Nothobranchius furzeri: one gene and its partners. The protein of the gene in region 5 purifies or fractionates together with the protein of the main gene of each other region. This does not show direct contact. Links are inferred from orthologs where the notes say so. Each region holds a gene or a part of one and is shown on either strand. Other genes may lie near its edges.

Region 1 (3,286 bases), on a different chromosome or scaffold from region 5:
ATATTCAATAAACCCACATTTTTAAAACATGTTTAATTTATAGTTGGAAAATTACATCTTTACATGAGCCCATTCAGATATTACAGGCAAAACAGGCATCTATGAGTAACCACAGGCACACTATGGGCAGACTAAACTACATAGAGCCACATGTAAAAGCTGTGGCCTTCGTTAAATATTGTACGTTTTAACTTCATGAGCTGGAGGCAGTCTGCTTTACATAGTAACAAACCTGCATTTGGTCGTTTCATGACGAGTCAAATAAAAACAATAGTGGGCATTTAAATATTTAACTTATGTACAAGTGATGGCTCATTTAAACAGGGTTCCCATCCTTTCAACTCTCGATCACAGCTGCTTCAGACTTGGACCGTGCTAGTTGTGCTTGATAATCGCTGTAGGGGTTGTGGGCTAAAGCATGAACCAAGAGAAACAGCAGGGAACTCCCCTCGAGTAACTAACAACCAGTCTTCCTCGGTTGTGACAGCTTGTGTGGGACGAGGAGGTTGTGCTGCAGCTTTAGTCTCACTGCTGGGAGGAGGATAACTGTTAGCTAACACCAACAACAGTTTCTCCACACAAGGAACCACTTCAAGAAATATTTATTTGATAAAATTCAAGACTGCAGGCTAATGGGAACCCTGTCAACACAAGTGAAGGAGCACTGGATGCAGGGTGGTTTAGTGATCCAGGTTAGTTTCTATAGCAACCATCCCTTCTGTAAAACGGCCATTTACCAAAACAAACCAAACAACATGGGTGGGTCAGAGATAAACGTGTCTCCATGTAGACGAGGTAAGTCATCTATTAGTCGTCCGTGAGGTCCTGAACAAAAACGACCTCGGAGCGACTGAGTCCTGCCTCCTTCAGCGTGGGGGGGTTGGGCTGCTCTGCAGTCGGAAGGCAGGGCAAGACTCGGCGAGGGAAGTTTGTCACGATCTGAAACTTCTCTGGAGTTTCCTTCAAAGAGAAAAGGAAGTCGTAGATTACCTGTGGAAGGAAGAAGAAACATGTAGATGTTTCATCACATGTCAGCGTCTAATAACCAAACATTGACCAGAGGCGTGTGAAGGAGACCAAAGACACCAGCGCTCACCGTCAGAGACTGAGCGAACAGGAACCGCCTCTCTACTCGTGTGTCGTTGGGCAACTTGAACACTATTTTAACACTTTCTGGATCATCAGCAGATGGTTCTGGAGGAAGGCACTCCGACTTCCTCTCCTTCTCCTCTTCTAGTGTCTGGAGTGAAAACAACAACAGGAATCAGACATGTAGGGGAAGACCAACGTATCCATGTACAAACGAAGACGACCAGACTCACTCTTCGTCTCCTCTCCTCTGCAAGAGCACTCTGTCGGACCTTTTCCTCCTCTTGCTTCTTCTGCTCCAGCTCCTCCCTTTTCTTCCTCTCCTTCTCCTGGTCGGCGCGTAAGGAGGCCAGGTAGGCCTCATCCTGCTGCTGCCTCAGCACCTGGGTCTGGTTCCTCTCCTCTCTGGAAACAACACTTCAGTCTTCACTCGCTGCTACTTCAGCTGTAGAGAATGTGACGACGGTCTCACTAACTCCAGCTGGTCTGACGTACCGCTCAAGGCGCTCTGACATCAGGTATGTCTGGTTGGCATCCATGATGAAGGTGACCTGATTGATGAGCTCCTCAGGCTGAATCAGACCCTCGAGCCGACCCACCACGGTCATCTTCCGGTCCTTTAGCATGATCATGGCCAGGAATGGGTAGGTGTTCTCCCGCAACGCTTGGGACACTTGGTATAGAAACCATTGTTACACAAAAGCCCAGTGGACTACCATTATTACCACGCTTCTGCACGGATCTTAATGTTTTTGTAGCCACTCAAGCTAACAGAAGAGTCCCTGTAGGACAGAAAAGCAGCACTAGCTTCTAGCTTTGGGGACTCCACATGGGTCTGAACTAGGGCTGGGCGGCATGGCCTACAACTAATATCACGACATATAGAGGATTTCACCTCGCTAGCGATGAACAGACTAGAACTACAGGTGTGTGCAGGAACAACAGTTGTCCACTAGATGTCACGTGTTCCAGGTTGAGTCACACTGGTATGCCACTGAAGGTGGTGCAGCTTCTTACAGGACATGAATGTTGCCAGCTCACACACATATTTCATGTTCTCATCTCATTCCTGAGACGGGAACAATTATCTCGGTAAGAGTGGATTTATTGCCCAGCCCTGGTCTCAACATGTTGTTTACCAGTGATATCAGAGTGTTTGTTGTTTTCAGAGCAGCCAGACTTACCCCAGGTTTCCACGGGAGCCGTCAGCAGCACGTTACTGCAGCAGCACGTCTAGCTGCTGCTTGGCCCTTCCCACGAGACGCGACGCAGCAGAGGAGCAGCTGTCACCGACAGGGCACGAAGTCACACGAGTGACTTCGTCAGTAAACACAACAACAAGCAGGAGAAAACTACAACATGGCTCCAAAATGTTTGTGTTTTTATATTCTGTCCGTTTTATAATCGCCGATACGGACCTGAAAAACAAAGGAGACCGCTAGCTAGGTGATAACTTCTCACGGGGCCGCACAGTTAGTAACCTTTTTTAAAGTAAAGCGACCGGAAGGCAGTACGTTCTTTATTCTGAAAATTTCGGGAGCTTCTCTCCATTTCCGCGTCCGATTTCCTGTCTTTCCTTCCCCAAAAATGTCGAACTTGACCCGTTTCAGAGGCGTCGCGCGTAGGAAATAGAACCGGCGCGTAAAGGCCGCGACATGCTGCTCCTGAGACGCGGCCGACTCGTGCTGCTGACAGCTGCTGACGGCTCCTGTGGAAAAGGTTCTGTTGACCACAGCCGTTCCTATCAGCAGCTATGACGTGCTGCTGCAGTAACGTGCTGCTGACGGCTGCTGTGGAAAGCCGGGGTCACACTGATAACAGATGAACGAATGAACGGGCATACACACCTCGGTAGCCCTCGGGCTTGCTGGTGGAACATGCCCAGAAGAGCATCCGTGTGTTGAGGAAGGTTATGACCTCTTCTGTACATAACGTGGAGCTGAGGAGCCACAGATCAGAGGAAAGGATGAATATGTTCACCTCATCTAACAGTTAAGGTGTGGTTCACTCATTAATCAGTGCATCTGCAGAGGTCTCTAGCAGGAATGAAGGCCTCGTACGTCACACTCTGTTTCAGAATCTAGAGAATGACCAGATCAGAGAACTTCAGACGACAGGATCTGGAGTCTTACTTCCTGATATTCGGACATCTCGCCTCTGATTGGCTAACAGCAACGCGACTTTACCACTTTGCAAC
Region 2 (3,680 bases), on a different chromosome or scaffold from region 5:
GACCTGCGGCAGCAGTAAAGCCGTCTACGCGTTCTGTTCCATGGCGAAATTGAAACTTCCGTTGTTTTATTTGGCTGTGTCAGGTTGGAGGGAATTAAGGTTATTTAAGCGGTTCAGAGTTAATAAAGTGGTAGATATGATGTTTCACAAGGTGCTGCTAGAGTTATGTGAAATCTTACTGCTGATTTTACTATATAAAACATAATAATAATCAACTTCTCCGTCATGTTTGCTCGGAGATGTACGGAGCATCCTGTCCGCTCATTGGTCAGTGAATGAAACCTCCGTTGATTGGTCCTCGTCCGAGCGACAGCAATGAAAAGTTGAAAATGTTTCAACTTTCTGGGATTGCGTCGCTGGGTCGCCTGTGCACGACACGTGCACGAGCGCAAAATTTCACTTGCACGTCTTTCGCGTTTCGCTGAGTAGGAGGGAGACCCGCGATTATCGCTTAGTCGCGCATGTCTCACTGAAAATGAATGGAGGAGAGGCGATGCCGCCTCCCGTGTGTCGAGCCCTTAAGGTGTATAGACAGAGACCCTAAGCTACATTCTGTGACCTAAAATGCTTCGTCCAAGTTAAACAGCTTAAGGGCAATTCTCATCTGTCTTATTTGATCTCATCTGTAGACATTTATTATAATTGGGGATGTCAAATGACTAATTTTTAAATGTAATTAAACATAGGCTGTGAATTCATCAAAATTAATCACTATTTCCAAAAATGACTAAAAAATACCAAATAAAACAAAAAAAATTGAAGACTTGGAAGAGTTGTCCGACACAACGAATCGATGACGCAATTCGTTGCCAACACTTTTAATAATCGATTTTTATCGATTCGTTGTTGCAGCCCTAATCACAGTACATGATAAGATGATCACTTTTACGGAGTTCTGAAAAAGCATACATGATTTCTGAAAGGGTAAAACTCCGGAAAGATACTTTAAGGGGATCAATTTGGAGGTTAAACCACAAAATATTTCTGAGCACGGCCATGCCTGCAGCTCACGACTCCCCCAAGGGATAGGTCCAATGCGGAAAACAAATTTTGCCGGTGTGTGATGACTAATGGGACTTCAATCTTTAAATGCCAGCATCCTCACACACCAAACTGTGTATCACTTGTATTCACAAGATAAAGGTGCTTGCATGCATGCTTCTTTGTATGTGTGTTACTCCTCAGGTACTCCATCCATCTGTGGGATCTGAACCATCCAGGAACTTGGGAAAGCAAAGGCACATATGTGTATTACACAGACTTCATCATGGAGCTGTCTATGCTGTTTCTGGATCTTATGCACCACATCCACATGCTTGTAAGATCTAAAGCTGTTTCCTTATTCTGGGACATCTTTTTACATTCATGTTTTTTTTAAAGCGTTTTGTTATAGAACTCAGATTATCTGTATACACACACACACACACACATAGAATTATTAGAAAAAAAATTGAATGGTTTACATGTGCACTTGTCAGTGTTTTGATCAAATGTGAAGGATTATTTGAAGAGGCATTTGGGAGTAGAAGAGAGGAGACTCGGCTCAGTGAGCTTAGCCAGAGTATCTGAGATCTACGTCTTTATTTAGAATATTTACACAGTTTATTTTCCTCTCCAAATATGTTACTTTCAGCTTTTTGGAAACATCTGGCTTTCCATGGCGAGCTTGGTCATCTTTATGCAGCTGCGCTACCTATTCTATGAGGTCCAGCGCCGCATCCGCAGACACAAGAACTACCTACGAGTCATTAACAACATGGAGGCCAGGTAATAATACATACGTGTACAAAAATGTAGTAATACCATTGTTATTATGTGTGCTTTTGAGTCCTTGTGGGTGCCATTGATTCTTGTTCTAAATGTGTGCAGGTTTGCTGCTGCTACTCCAGACGAGCTGGCAGCCAATAACGATGACTGCGCCATCTGCTGGGACGCCATGCTTACGGCACGAAAACTTCCATGCGGTCATCTCTTTCACAAGTAAACAAGCGCTTCCTTTTTGGTAGCTTCTGTAAAACAAAGTAAAAGCTGCCTATTAGAAACGGTATGCATCCATGTGATTTTGTAGCTCTTGCTTGCGCTCCTGGCTTGAGCAAGATACGTCGTGTCCCACATGTCGAACTTCGCTAAACATCAATGGGGACGGGGTTCAGGTGAGAGGTCAGCCGCAGGGTGGTGCTATGGAGGATAACGTCGGTCCTGCTGGTGCTGCTCTGGAGGGGAGACCACACATCAACCATCACAATCACTTCTTCCACTTCGATGGTAAGTCACCCAAACCCCTAACCGCGACCCGACACGTCTCTGATGGGTTGTGATGTTTATTTATTCTTACAGGATCCCGTATTGCCAGCTGGCTGCCCAGTTTTTCAGTGGAAGTGATGCACACCACTAATATTTTGGGCATCACGCAGGCCAACAACTCTCAGCTCACAGCTATGGTAGGACCACGTTTACTCCCTCTGTGGTTTCATGTGAGATCACACAGAGATCCTGACTGAAGTTGTGTTCTTTTCTTAGTCCTTTTTTAGTTAATAAGTCATTTGTTTTTTAGAATATTTTTACAATAAATGGATTGTATTTTTGTAATAAAAGAAGTGTCAGCATCAAAGCCTCCATCAAATACACCTGATGAAGTTCATTAAACCCCACGTTAGACACTTTCAAGTTAGGAATCTGCTGTAATCTGGGATTGAATAAAACCCACAAGTATTTATTTAATCATTAGGGATGTTCCGATCACGCTGTTTTGGTCCCGACCTGAGTCCGAGTCATTTAATTTTGAGTGTCTGCCGATACCGAGTCCTGATCCGATACTTCTCAGGAAAGCATTAAAATAAGAAGAAATAAAGAAAACATCTGAGTTTTCCTTTAACTTTCACTTTTTTAAGAAGTGCATTGATTAAAAAGCGAGTTTATATTATGAATATATTTAAAAGTGGCAGCGTTGCTCATATTTCAAGTTGTTTACTCCCTCAATATGCAGCTGTGTTGAGAGATGTTTGTTCCCGTGATGGGGCAGGCATGCGGTGCCTTGGCCGTCTGGCTAACTTTTCCTGCACAACACCTGTAGCTACCGAGCAGCTTGGTCCTGCAGGAGACTTAGAAACCCCAACATTCAGCAGCCTGTTTATTTCCCTGTGGGCTGGCTCTGTGCTGTCTGAGTTTGTTGTGAACTGGGAAGGAAACAGGTCGCTTTGTTGACGCCTGAAGGGAAACCCAAATGCAAAAGTAAAGGTTTGAAGGCTGTGAATGCCCAGTATGCAGACATTACAAGTGGCTGTTACACTGCCTTCACTGTTTGGATTAAAATACCACCATATTACGGACAATAAGCAGTAGCCTGCTTGCTAACAGCTGCACCTCGGTGTCTGAATCCCTGCCTGCCGTAAAATCTTGTGACTTTATGGTGTTGTTTTCATACAAGAAACAAATAATGTTGATACAGATGAACTTGTTGAAATTAAAACCAAGTCATTGTTATTCCAATAGAAAATCTCTATTTTGAGATGAATTTAAAATATCATAATTGTTGTTTAAAATCTTTTCCTCCCAATTCCGATCCTTTTAAAATCACATGATCGGAACGTCCCTAAGTTTGACAGATATTTAGTTCTGGTTTTGTCTCGGTAGGAAAGTTTTTGTGACAATTTTAAACAATCAAACAAACGAATCATGAC
Region 3 (4,115 bases), on a different chromosome or scaffold from region 5:
GCGACAACCTTCCAGCAATGCTCTATGTGACGTTCTGGCAACGTCGTAGCGGAACTTCACTTTGGAAGTCGCTACTACGTAACATACGACGTTCCTGCAACATCGAATATAGTTTATGATCCTGAAAGAATAAACAACACTTTCAAAAACTTTTACCAAACTTTGTACTCACCACAGACAAACCCATCAGATGCCGAGCTCAATTAATTCCTTGACAGGATAACACTTCCTAAATAGACCCTTTTACTGTTTGTAAACAATATGACGTCAGCGAGAAGGCGCGCGCAGCTTGGCAACAGAGAATGGCGTTGTGTCAGGCTTTATCAAGCTACGCTGCGGGGTTATCACCGGCAAATCTTGAATGTTATATTATTAAACTCACTTTAACGAATCGCAACAGACTCCCGGATCCCTGAGGCATTACGGAATGGGTGGAAGATGTAGGTGCGTGGCCAGATATCCAGTGGCCCGATATATATACGTTTTTAGTGGAGAGGCCCAGTAAGTACACACGTGAGAAGCTACGGGCATACAAATCGTTAGATGCATACAACTATGTTGTCTGTGGCCACGTACAGAAAGTAAAATATCACCACATAGACTCTGAGTTTTGCATCTTGAAGGCAGAAGTCCTTCCTAGCCACAGACGCCTCTGATTTTGTTGAAATGGATGTGCTCCCTTTGGAATTCTGTAAAGTTTCAGTCCAGTGCTTGAAGAGAAGCGATTCTGGCATCCATACACGCAACAACCCGACATTTTTATGTGCTCAGAACTTCAAAACAAAGGGTTTAAAACGCTGTTTTAGTATTGAGTATGAATGAGGAAGCCTTCACTCTCGTTGCCAGGCTGCACGCGCAACTTTTGATGACGTAGGTAGTAAAAGGGTCTATTACCAGACAGCCAAGCTACAATACTGGACTCGCATGACAAGGTGTCAGAAAATACGTTGTGACTACGTTGTTGCAACAGACCTGTGTTGGTAGGGAACAATTACTAAAAGAAGGAAGAAAGAAAACATCTTTTATGTAGCACCTCTCAAAATAAAAATCATAAGGCGCTTCACAAAAACAAATAATTAAGATATAAAGATTTTTTTAAAAATTATGTTTAAATTAGAAAAAAAAATATGAGGAAAGGGAGAGAGAAAATGAATAGGAAAGAAAGAAGAGGCAGAAAGAAAAAAAACTTCTTTATAAAAAGCTGTAAGAAAAAAAATCTGTCTGCACAAAAATAAAACAAGAGTCATTACATATTAGATTGTTTTACGTTCTTTCAAAATAATGGTGTCGAATGTACTATTAAAATATGAACTTGCTTTTGTTATGGCCACGCCCCTTTCCTCGTGTCTAATGCCCGCCCCCGGCCTACGGAGTCAGGGGAAACGGAGTCGGGCGCTTTTAACGGGAGCGCCACCGGGGCTGGTCCGCTCCGTCCAAAGGTCCTTTGTAGCAGCAGCAGCAGCTACCTCTGACTAGCGGTTTACGTTAGCTCGGGCCGGCCCTGTTGGGTTGAGTTGGCTCGGTGTGTTACGCTCTTAAACCAGGTCAGTAAACATGGCGGCCACGAATCCCCGCTTCTCGAGTGACGGTGGGCCGGCCAGCAAAGAAGGGTTCCCGGCTGGAGAGAGCAGCAACGACCGAGACGGACCGGATGGAGGCGGCAACGGCGACAGCCAACGGGACCGAGCCTCGTTCGAGTGCAACATTTGTTTGGACACAGCCAGGGACGCTGTCATCAGCATGTGCGGACACTTGTTCTGGTATGAAACGGTTTTCATGCGTTTGTTTGGCCTCGGTTTACCGATATGTAGTCGATGGCAGAGACACGCCCCGCGACGTCCCGTCTGATCCGAGGCGACAGCGGCCAAAATGGCTCACTGTTCCTGTGCTGGGTGTCCGTTTACTGCCAGCTGGTTTTAGTGGCTCCTGGTGTGAAAGGATGAATGTATGTACTCCTGGTGTGAAAGGATGAATGTATCATGTTATCTGATTTAGTTCCGCCCCGCTCTGCGAGACACAAAAACAAACCACTTTTTCATCAGTTCATTCTGAGTTTGACTAAAATCACTTAATTATGTCACGTTTACAATAAAAATTCAGGCTTTTTTTTGGTGAGATCATTGTTTTTTTTTTTATTTTGGAACATCTGACATGCCAGCAAATCTAAAAATCTCATAAAATTGTTACTTTTTAGGATGCATCTTTTCTGTACCTAAAAGCTGCTTTTAGTGCTTTCTTCTATCAGTGTCACAGAAACTTGCACAAAACCTGACCTTGAAAACTTGTTGAAAATGTACACACAATCACAGGTGTGTGTGTGTGTGTGTGTGTGTGTGTGTGTGTGTGTGTGTGTGTGTGTGTGTGTGTGTGTGTGCGCGCGCGCGCGCGTGATTCACGAACTGTGTGCACTAATGATCTCTTAAGCTAAGGCTAGTGGGAGTTTATAGCCAACAAGTAGGATTGAGGTCAACTGTAGGGTCACTGTGATCAGAAGTGTGTGTGTGTTTGACTGCAGTTATTATTATGCATTTTCCTAAATCTGGACTTTTAAGCATCCTTTCTGGGTGACATTGCAGTTTTGCCTCTAAAGCGTGTGCACAACAGTTGTGTTTGAATCATTTTCCAAACCGAAGTAACCACAAACTTGTAGAGACTTGTAGAGCTAAAAATCTGGCAACTATTTTATGCACACGTCTTATTTATGCATAATTTCATGCACTCTTTGACTTTGGACTTTGTCTAAGGGGGGGGGGGGAATAGTTGAGCCGTAAATTCCCTCATGTTTATCTAAATGTTAATGTTTCTAAGTCTTTGGCTAGAAAACCCGTTTCTGGACTCTGGACATCTGGAATTTAGATGTTCTGTATTATGTTGATCATTTTTTGGTCATTGGGATAATTTCCTGCTGCACATTTGTGAGCGATGCAGTTGCTATGTTACGTCGGTCCTTCTGCTCCTGGGACTCAAGTGCAGTGTGATGAAACTTTTCAGCAAGAAGGACAAGAGCTGACATCAGTTAATCTGCTGCAACTTCAGATTAATCTTACAGCAGCGCATTAGTACAGTTAATTAAAACACACAGGGGGTTAAAGTTCAAATGTGTTAGAAGTCCCTGTAATTGTTGCTCTTAATTGGTCTTTGTGTTCAAATGGTTCTGAAATCATAAAACAAATGAGTTTAGCAGATAATGTTAGTTTGTGTCGACTAAAATGTCAATTCAGGTTGCAGAAATCACATCTTTATTCACTTTTTCTGGTCGATTTAACCCGTTTCTGTGTCTGTTGCCTTTGGACTTTGATCAGCTGTTTTGTGTTTACAGGAGCACACACACACACCCATCAGGTCATGTGACTCAGCTGGTTTCTGTTGTTTTCACATGACGTCATTTAAATAACTCGGTTTGAGTACTTCGCAGTCGTGAATACAGGATTAACTAATCCAAATCCCTGCCTTATTTGGAAATGATAAAAGTCAGTAAACAAACCAAGGACTTTTTAACCCTCCCACTGTCCTAACGGGTGACCCTGCGAGGAAAGTTGACCATAGAGCAGGATTGATGGCGGGAGGGTTGAGTAAAACACCTTCCTTAGGAGGGAGCGTTATGCTACCTGGGGACTTTGTGGACATGCTCTTCAACACATCTGTGGGTGTGGGTGTGTATGTGTGTGTGTGTGTGTTGGGAATTTCTTCCAAAATCATGGAGCACCAACATTATTCCCACATCGCATTAGCAGGTTGGCCTCTCCAACCTTTGATGACAGATGGAGCCAATTAAAACAAACGAATGGGAGCAGTACTGGTTTTAGGAGGTTTTTCAAGACTAATCTAATCCCAAAAAAATGAATCTGCTCAGGAAATGTCACAGATCTGAGCTGCTGTGAAAATGTAAAATAATCCCGTCTCTCTCTCTCTACAGCTGGCCCTGTCTTCACCAAGTAAGTACTTCCTCTCTCTCATCTTTTTACAGGCTGATTTAATCAGATCAGGCTCACCCAATCTCCTTTAATCCACATTAAATAATGTCTGTTGTTTTGTTTTTTTATCTTAAGTGTTGTAACGTGTCTGTCTGCTGCCCCCAGTGGTTGGAGACGCGTCCCAGCCGGCAGCAGTGTCCC
Region 4 (4,382 bases), on a different chromosome or scaffold from region 5:
CTTGTCTATTCTTCTAAACTCCGTGTTGATGCTGGAAGCCACAGAGCCCCATCTGGAGTGAGGAGGCCTCACATGAGCCTGCAGGGCCCGTCTGATGGGATGGCCGTGCCACTGGCAGCAGGACCAGTAGATGACCACAGCACAGCTGGCCAGATGCAAGCACACCGCGAAAAGCAGAAAAGCTCTCCAGCTGTGACTCACCTGGTGAAATGAGATAAATGTATCTGTTGTGGTTACTATTACTAAAGGCTATCTTAGGTCTTCACTGAAATAGCTTAAGGGCGTTTGCATGTTACCGCACGTCTCCCGTCGTCTGATTGTGTTTGACTAAATTTAATCGAAATTTAATTCAAGGCTGATAATGATTTACTTATTTTTCACCAGTTTTCATCATTCTGGAAGTGAAACAGACCTGCTGCACACAGCTGCGCAAAACAGGGCAGTTTTAATTTATTTCACACACACACACACACACACACACACACACACACACACACACACACACACACACACACGGTTTATCCTATGTATAGTGATCCCTCGTTTATCGTGGTAGATGCGTTCCAGACCTGGCAGCGATAGGTGAAAATCCGCGAAGTAGGGACACCATATTTACAGTACAGTACTATATTGAATTATCGTATGATCACATTCTCTTTTTGTGGGTAAAACTCAAGAAAAAAATGTTTTTTAACTTGTTTTTTTTATAGTTTTATTACAAAAAGTGCATTTTATGAAGAAATTGATGAAAAAGAACAGGAATTTCTTGATATTTCGCATAGAAAAATAATGCGAATCAGCGAATTTCCCTTGAATAAGGCTCCAAAGAAAAAATCCGCGATGAACGAACCGCGAAGTAGCGAGGGATCACTGTACTCTGCTTTAACAAGATAACCTCAATGCTTGAGTCATTATAAAGTAAGTCCAAAAGTGTGATAAATGCAATAAGATTGATGACAAGTTCACATTTAATGTTTTTCAGAGTTTTTAAGTAAAAGAAATGGAAAAACTATTTTAGCAAAACAGGACAGAATGGTTTTTATAGTGCCATGTTCGCATTTTCTTTACAAAACTCCCCCAAACAGCTGTTGTGTTGGTGGCAGGAGGACAGTCTGCACTAGGCCTGGCTGTTTAACCTGGCGTTGGTGCAGGCTGCGTCTTTGTTCACACACCTGCTGCTACGTGGCACTGCGTTGCATGTAGTACCGGAGTGTTCCACTAGGGGCACACTAGAGAACTCAGACTGGATAGAGAGCCGGGTTTGTGGGCACAACCAAAATGAGCATGGTGTCAGTAAAAGAGCTCACTAACTGGTTAATTTTGAGATCACGACAGAAAAAGACCAAAAAAACTGCAGCAGTACCGTAGATGGTGTGCAAGACCTCAGAACCAGAGACGGAGACACCATGGCAAGTCTGTCTTGCTTGTTTTGTCAACTCCACCTACTGGTTACTCGTATATTGCAGCGTTTGGATGTGTCGCATTAATTTTGGGGGACGTGCACAAACGATGCTTCAAATCAACGCAAATAACGTGTGGCAGCCATTTTAAAACATGCTTTCTCGTGGTTAAACAGCAAGTATCTCATGGCCCTTAGCGAAGGAAGACGGTTTCCTGCTAAACGAAATAGCCAATCAAAGCAGAGCCCGTCTAGCAGGGGCGGTTCTATGGGGTTTCAAGTGTGGGTCAGTGCCACCCCTACAGCAAGCTTGGACCCCCCCGTGCCACCCCTGTTGAGAGCAGATTATAAGCATTAATGAGTTGATATTTATTTTATTTATTTATTAAATCATTTTGATAATTTAGCTTAATGCAAGATGAGGAATCAAAGCTTGAAGTTATTGGAAGCTGATGAGGGATGCTGAGATTTTCATGTTGTCACTGAGGCGGATTCCAAAGTGTTTTTGTAAAATAGTTCTATGTAGAAAATCTAAAACAACTGTAACTAAATTGCTGTTATTACAAATATGGACTTTAATTACAATTTTTAGTGTTTAATGACAGCAACATGGTGTCTTCTTATTAATGTGCTTCTAAATGAGCAGCGGGCTCCAGCCTGGCCCCCCCAACTAAGGTTAGTCTAGAACCTTCCCTGCCTTCTAGCCAATCAGAGGTGAGAAAAGCAGGATCTTCCTTGGATATCAGACCCGGAGTCTGCGGATTCAGGCTCAAATGCAAATTACGCCTCCGGGGTCTGTAGCTGCTTCACACAAGGGGGGAGGCGGTTGGAGTGATGGCTCAAGAAAACAACTAATGGTGCCTTGATAATCCTGAAGAATTCACTCCTCTGTGGTGCTGCTACCAGATCAGCATTTGAACTCAAACACCAGTTAACAACTAAAGATCTTCAGGTCTGGAGAACATGAGGACCGACCTGGTAGAAGGAGCTGAGGTGTTTCTCGGGAGCAGCGACGCACATCCCCAAGTAGTAACCTTCAGAAGACACACAACATGAGCCCAGCACAGACGTCCAGAACAACCCGCTCTCCTCAGCTCACACCTGAGCCGCTGCACCAGGGGGTTACCTGACCTAGAGGCAGCGCGGACTGGACCAGGATGGTGACGCTGATCCTTCTCAGGTGGTAACGGAGGAAGTCCACGTCCTCGCTGCCCAGCCAGGACGAGAAGACATTCTGGACGGTCAGCCCGGCGGACCGAAACTCGTCGGGGGTGAAAATGATGCAGATCGCGAACGTAACATACGCTAAAGTAAAGGATAACTCTGGGCTCGTCATTCTGCCCCTGCGCCATCTACTCCACTTCCGCACACGTCTTTTACCACGTGACCCTTTCGCGAGAGGGTTAGCTATTGTATTGTGTCCGACGGAACAAATATATCATATATACGCTTTTTATAGTTTATTTATATACAGTGTCCAGGGTTGAACTCTTCCAGTTAAGCGTGCTGGAGCAAGTGAACGTCAGTTACTCATGTCGGTATGCTAGTAAGGCTTCATGAAGCAACTATGCTTTTCAGTTATAGCGACATCTGCTGGTGGAGTTGAACCACGACAACCAAGGTCACCATCATGATGGCTAACATTTATAGTTTTGACTCTGCCGTTCTTTATCATTTATGATCATGATTCTCTCCCCAGCTGTCCCTTTGAATGTAGCTAATTGTTGTTTATGTTTGTGTTCACATCATAAAAGGAAAGGTCAAAGGGTGTAAAAATTAAATTATATTCAAATAAAACCTAAAGAAACTGGTGAGCAGAAAAGACTTTAACCAAAACAAGTATCAATCACAGACAGTGATAACTAAGATGAGACAGCAGAGCATGTTTTATTTACACTCGTACATTTAAAAAACTCAATTTCAGATGTACATCAAAAATTACAAAATCACTCAAGAATTTTTTTTTTTCAAAAGGACCATTTATTATTGTATAAAACAGAATTTTGAATAAAGATTAAATTAATATTTCAACCATACTACAGGGGGCAAAAGTGCACAAAATTACAATTTAAAAACTGGATCCACCTTAAAAAAAAAAGAAGAAGAAGAAGAACGGAGGCGGTGACGCAGCAGCAGAAGTAAACACGAACAAGATGGCGGACAGCGATGCCCGTCCAGGCTCGGGGCCACCAGTAGACTTGGATGTTCTGAAGCTGTCGGACTTACTGGAGAGCGGTTGGAAAATATTTGAGGAGGTGGACAGAACCAACGAGCCCGTCGCCTCCACCAGCGTCCAAGAAAGCGTAAGAAGCGGGATTCGGATGCTGGAGGACGCGTCCAGGATGGTCGCTCAGCTAGCCCTGTTCAGCCGGAATGAGGACTTGGAGGAGGTCGCTACGGCAGACCTGAAGTACCTGCTGCTTCCCGCCTTGTTAGGAGCCCTCCACATGAAGAGGACCAGCCGGGAGAAACGGCTAGAGGCAGTCCAGGCTGCCCGGGTGTACTACATGGACTTCCTCCAGAGGTGCCGTGATTACAACGTATCCCAGTTCGAGATGCCTCATAAGTCCTCTTCCAGTCCGGAAGAAGTGTCGGCCCCCGGGTCCTCTAACGCCACGGTGAGTGGAAACGTGGTTCTCCATCCATCCATTGTCTGAACCCGCTTGTCCATGTAGGGTCGCGGAGGGGCTGGTGCACACACACACACCCACCCACACCCACACCTAAGGGCAATTTAGACAGACTAGTCAACCTAACAGTCATGTTTTTGGACTGCGGGAGGAAGCCGGAGTACCCGTAGAGAACCCACGCATGCACAGGGAGAACATGCTAACTCCATGCAGAAAGATCCCAGACCTGTTAGCGAACCCAGGACCGCCTTGCTGCAAGACAACAGCTCTAACCACGGTGCCGCTGTGCAGCCCGAAACGTGGTTCTGTTGGGTCTAACTGGAGTTTCGCGATGCAGTTAAAATGGAACGCAA
Region 5 (4,141 bases):
GCAGCAGGCCTCCGTCCCGGAACAGCTCCAAAGCCTGACACTTCTCTGTGATTGGGGAAGAACCGATGCCTGCACATGGGAGGGAGGTGCTCAGTAAAAATATAATTCAAGGTAATCTGGAGGAACAAATCCATGAATCCAATTCAGAAAGCGAAGGTAAAAAGCACAGCTTCAGTAAGAACGGAGTAATCACACCAGCTGTGATGATTTATATCAAAAGTGGAAGTTTTTCCTTCTAAGTCTTACAAGAACTCTGGTGTGGAGAGGAAGGAGCGTCCTCCCAGATCCATGGGATACTTGTACATCAGGAAGAAGTAAAGGTGGCCCACCAGGTTCCCCGTCAGCTCGTTCACAAATCTGCATAAAATGGAGGGTCAAAGGTCACAGGAGCACCATAACAGCAAGCTGCTTGATAATCATAACAGAATTCAGTTAGAAATGAGACTTACGAGCCTCCGATGATAAAGTTGAAGGCCAAGATGACCCACGGTAGATAATGAGCCTAGAACAGAGCACACCCCTCGTCAGTAGGTGTAGATATCTGCTGCTGCTTAGCAACCACAATTGTGAGCTACTGTGTGAATTTTGAAGCAACGGCCAGACAATGATTAACTGATTAACATCTAAAAGTTTAATTTCTCAGCATAAGGAGAAGTGTTGATCTGTGGTGTTTGAGGCAGCAGGTGATTCCTGTAGGGAATGCCAGGTCTTAATCCATCCCCTACCCCTCCCTAGTGTTTGTCCTGATGTTGCCGTTTACAGTTCTGAGGAGAATACCTTGAAACGTGTTCCGAACCAGAAGGAGACGATGGTGTTTTTGTTGAACTGAGCCCAGACGTACAGCGCGGACAGGATCAGCGGGATCATCAGCAGCTGAGAACACAGACGTTAAAGCTCTAGTTCAGCTGTAGCTTTGAGTGAAGTAGTCCATAACTCATGTTTTGGTGTAAATACAGAAGAAAACTCACATGCATGTTCATCAGCATCGCAGTTATCTACACACACACTCCAAGTCAAGGACAACACGCTGGAATCATTTGGAATTTCAGGATCAGAGCAGCTGCTCGTGGGACGGTCGCCCACTTCAATCCCCACTTCAGCTCTTAAAGGACCTAGCAGTCACATCTGCCTTCTCCACTTCAGAATAAGGGATCTGGGGCCATCACTCCTTCAATATCGTATTTATTCCTACCTCTTCCTGCAGTAAAAGCCAAATATTTTTGTGGATAAATGTTATTCTTCAATCTTATAGCTAAGAAATAGCTATGAAAAGCCTTAGGAGCTAACAATCAGGGCTGAACTCCCGACAAAGCAGCATGGAGCTAAGGTGTGGGCTGGACTGCTGGTGCTGCATGTAACCTAGATTAGGTTTCTCCACTCTGCAGGGGTAGACTGACACTGGGCCACTGGCACAGAGCCACCCTGACATTGTACACTGCTGCAGAGAGAGAAGAGGTGCAGGAAGGAGAGGAAAAAATACAGGAGGAAACGCCATACACCTCTGATTGTAAAAAGCTTACAGCTTATGGCTTAAATGGGCGCTGGTTAAAGGATACAAGAATGCAGATCCAGTTAAAGAGCAGCATAAAAACATAGTCTGCAGGTCTGCCATTAAACTCAGCTGAAAAACACAAAAAACATCAGATGCAGAGAACATTTAAACTACAGAGAGGAGTAGTCACAGGATGGCAGCGGTCTTACATGTCTCCAGCCGAGTGGAGTAATGGTACAAAAAATAAAGGTTGACCAAATAAAGGAATCCGGTTTGAGGGGTGATGGGAAAATAAAAGGTGGCAGTGACTGGCCTCCAGAGCTGAAACAAATAAAAACAAGCATTAATCCTCAAAATACTATGTGATATTGACACAGTCAGCACCCCGTAGATTACAAATAAGGATAATTAAAGGGTGAAGATCTTTACATAAAGCAGGATCAACACAAACATTTTAGCCGAAGGTCTATTTGCCTATTAATGGAATTTGCATTTTAATTTAAGGTGTTAAATTCGTTTAATGAGTTATGTGATCTCCTGTATAATAATAAACAAGCACGTGCAGTTAGCGTTTCAAATAAAGTATTTTTAACTGAATTGAAATCCTGCGCCTAAAATCCGACATTCTTTCCTGTATCTGATATTGAAGCTCCAGCAGCCAGAGACAATGCCCAACACGCTTCGTCACTACTCAAGACATTGTCGCCGCCTTGTGGACGCCGTGAGAACAGCATACTAAAAACAAAATAGCTGTCCTTTATCAAATCATCTAACGCTGGTATTTTGTCACATTAAAACTCCGTGTTTTTTTTTGTTTGTTTTTTCTTTTTTTGGTGACATTTCAGAACATCTTTCTGAACCTAGTATTTATGTAATAACACCCGAATAACACGCACTGAGTTTTATAGACAGCATCCGGAAAACAGATCCTGCCATGTCGGGATTCAGGCCTGTCATGGTTAGCCACCTGCTAGCTAACCGAATACATAAACAGAGAGTAAAAAATGATAACTGATCCTTTTGCCGACACGGATGAACAAATCACTGAAGTGCGTACCTGAAATTTGTTAAAGACGAGCTCCGGAATAAGCACAAGGTTGCTATGATAAACCAATCCTAGTCTTCCTATCAAAGGAAAAGCAATGGAAGCAGCGAACCACCACCGGGTGATTAAAGGGATGCTTCTGAACCAGTTCCCGATGTCCGACATCTTCTCAAAAGTCTTCTGCTAACCTACAAGTCCGAAATGTAAAAAAAAAGTCACTTTGAAAAGAACCCAGGACCTCTTAAAACTACAAGTCTTTAGTCTTGAACGATTAGCTCGTCCACTGCTAAGTTTACGTGACGTGGCTAAGGGCTAATCACAGCTTTGCATTTGCAGAGCTCACTTTCAGAACGAAAAGTTCCGGTACAGCTTTTCAAAATAAAAAGGAACTTTTTTTTAAAGGCCGAGATTCAGAAAGCCTGTGAAACTAGATAGTAAAAGAAAAACAGATGATATAAAAAAAAGTTAGAAAAATACAGTATATCCTTTATTCTGGTTCAATTCACAGAATTGGGTAAGATGCAACGAAATGGGCACAATGTGACATGCTAAATACTGAATACACAAACGTGAACAAACATTTTTTAAATGTATCAATTTCAATAAAAAAAGGACACAACAATAAAATGAAACAAAATAAAATTTCTTTAAATGTGTACAAAAATACTGGTATTTTTTAAATTGTCTTTTTAGAACACGATTTTCAAAAATTCTTCTTTTTTACCTTTTGCGTAAGTCAAGATTCAAACAATAACTTTTCATTGGAATACAATTGATGCAGAACATAGTTTTTGCTAAACCATATGCATTATCTCATTAACTTATATCATCAGTAATTTATTTCATTTTGAACAGCAGCGCTCTTATTTTGAAGGACAGAATGAGAACCGGATATACCGTAATTATCTAAGGAGACTTTCTAGATGTTTTCAAATCATTTCCTGTTAAATTTGCAAAGCAGATTCTAAACCACTCAGAAGAAGCCAACAAAGTAAAGGGGCGTGTCTTGTTCAGGAGCTTACATGCACCTTTTGAAAGTGATGCGTTCACACCTTTGGAAATAAAAAAAAATCACATTACAATTTTTTTTGTTAAGTACTGGTGACTTTTTATGCTGTGGCAATTTGTCTGATAGCATAGCCTTGCATTGATGTGGTTTGTTTGTTTGTTTTTATTTTTTGTTGATTATTGTACTTTTTCTGTCCTGTTTCGATGGAACAGATCCAGTAGCCAGGAATGAGTGATGGATCTGCTTTATCTGCTGGTGTTTATTTGATTTGCATGTTTCATGCTAATCTGAAAATTAGACTCTGGAACATAATGCCCTCATGACCCATCCCCAGATAGGCAGAAGAAAATGAATGAATGGATGGACAATAAATTATCAGCATTTTAAGCAAGAGTAGGAAGATGTTATCCTGGAGAAGATTCGTCTAGCGTAACCTGTTTTATATGTTAGAATGTATCATAATGATTAAAATGATAATTTAATGTTTTTCGGTTGTATTTATTGCATTATGCTTGAAATTGTGCTTGCCCATAGTGTGGTGGATGAACACAAACCTGAAGAGGACAGATGTTCAGACAGATGCAAATAAACCCAG

The links.
Region 1: the proteins of derl1 (region 5) and faf2 purify together in Homo sapiens (affinity purification with western blotting; 4 studies listed by BioGRID and IntAct, with this or other methods). This does not show direct contact. The link is inferred for Nothobranchius furzeri from reciprocal best matches to the Homo sapiens genes DERL1 and FAF2.
Region 2: the proteins of derl1 (region 5) and amfra purify together in Homo sapiens (affinity purification with western blotting; 4 studies listed by BioGRID, with this or other methods). This does not show direct contact. The link is inferred for Nothobranchius furzeri from reciprocal best matches to the Homo sapiens genes DERL1 and AMFR.
Region 3: the proteins of derl1 (region 5) and rnf5 purify together in Homo sapiens (affinity purification with western blotting; 4 studies listed by BioGRID and IntAct, with this or other methods). This does not show direct contact. The link is inferred for Nothobranchius furzeri from reciprocal best matches to the Homo sapiens genes DERL1 and RNF5.
Region 4: the proteins of derl1 (region 5) and tmem129 purify together in Homo sapiens (affinity purification with western blotting; 3 studies listed by BioGRID). This does not show direct contact. The link is inferred for Nothobranchius furzeri from reciprocal best matches to the Homo sapiens genes DERL1 and TMEM129.

The regions. Positions count from the first base shown.
Region 1 is NC_091742.1:44,986,853-44,990,138, forward strand, and holds the end of faf2 (FAS-associated factor 2), read right to left. Parts: intron 3,029-3,286; coding exon 2,937-3,028; intron 1,763-2,936; coding exon 1,585-1,762; intron 1,495-1,584; coding exon 1,323-1,494; intron 1,241-1,322; coding exon 1,097-1,240; intron 991-1,096; coding exon 808-990; 3' UTR 586-807; downstream 1-585. UniProt on the Homo sapiens protein: Plays an important role in endoplasmic reticulum-associated degradation (ERAD) that mediates ubiquitin-dependent degradation of misfolded endoplasmic reticulum proteins.
Region 2 is NC_091749.1:54,414,982-54,418,661, forward strand, and holds part of amfra (E3 ubiquitin-protein ligase AMFR), read left to right. Parts: intron 1-1,185; coding exon 1,186-1,318; intron 1,319-1,633; coding exon 1,634-1,767; intron 1,768-1,869; coding exon 1,870-1,980; intron 1,981-2,068; coding exon 2,069-2,265; intron 2,266-2,337; coding exon 2,338-2,441; intron 2,442-3,680. UniProt on the Homo sapiens protein: E3 ubiquitin-protein ligase that mediates the polyubiquitination of lysine and cysteine residues on target proteins, such as CD3D, CYP3A4, CFTR, INSIG1, SOAT2/ACAT2 and APOB for proteasomal degradation.
Region 3 is NC_091759.1:8,560,308-8,564,422, reverse strand, and holds the start of rnf5 (E3 ubiquitin-protein ligase RNF5), read left to right. Parts: upstream 1-1,224; 5' UTR 1,225-1,554; coding exon 1,555-1,760; intron 1,761-3,916; coding exon 3,917-3,935; intron 3,936-4,079; coding exon 4,080-4,115. UniProt on the Homo sapiens protein: Membrane-bound E3 ubiquitin-protein ligase that mediates ubiquitination of target proteins. May function together with E2 ubiquitin-conjugating enzymes UBE2D1/UBCH5A and UBE2D2/UBC4.
Region 4 is NC_091741.1:108,954,621-108,959,002, reverse strand, and holds the start of tmem129 (E3 ubiquitin-protein ligase TM129), read right to left. Parts: upstream 2,897-4,382; 5' UTR 2,752-2,896; coding exon 2,526-2,751; intron 2,434-2,525; coding exon 2,375-2,433; intron 202-2,374; coding exon 1-201. Other genes in the region: igbp1 (immunoglobulin-binding protein 1), read left to right, coding at 3,553-4,017.
Region 5 is NC_091745.1:56,656,334-56,660,474, forward strand, and holds the start of derl1 (derlin-1), read right to left. Parts: upstream 2,858-4,141; 5' UTR 2,703-2,857; coding exon 2,550-2,702; intron 1,814-2,549; coding exon 1,702-1,813; intron 1,622-1,701; coding exon 1,557-1,621; intron 996-1,556; coding exon 969-995; intron 874-968; coding exon 778-873; intron 503-777; coding exon 450-502; intron 358-449; coding exon 247-357; intron 70-246; coding exon 1-69. UniProt on the Homo sapiens protein: Functional component of endoplasmic reticulum-associated degradation (ERAD) for misfolded lumenal proteins. Forms homotetramers which encircle a large channel traversing the endoplasmic reticulum (ER) membrane.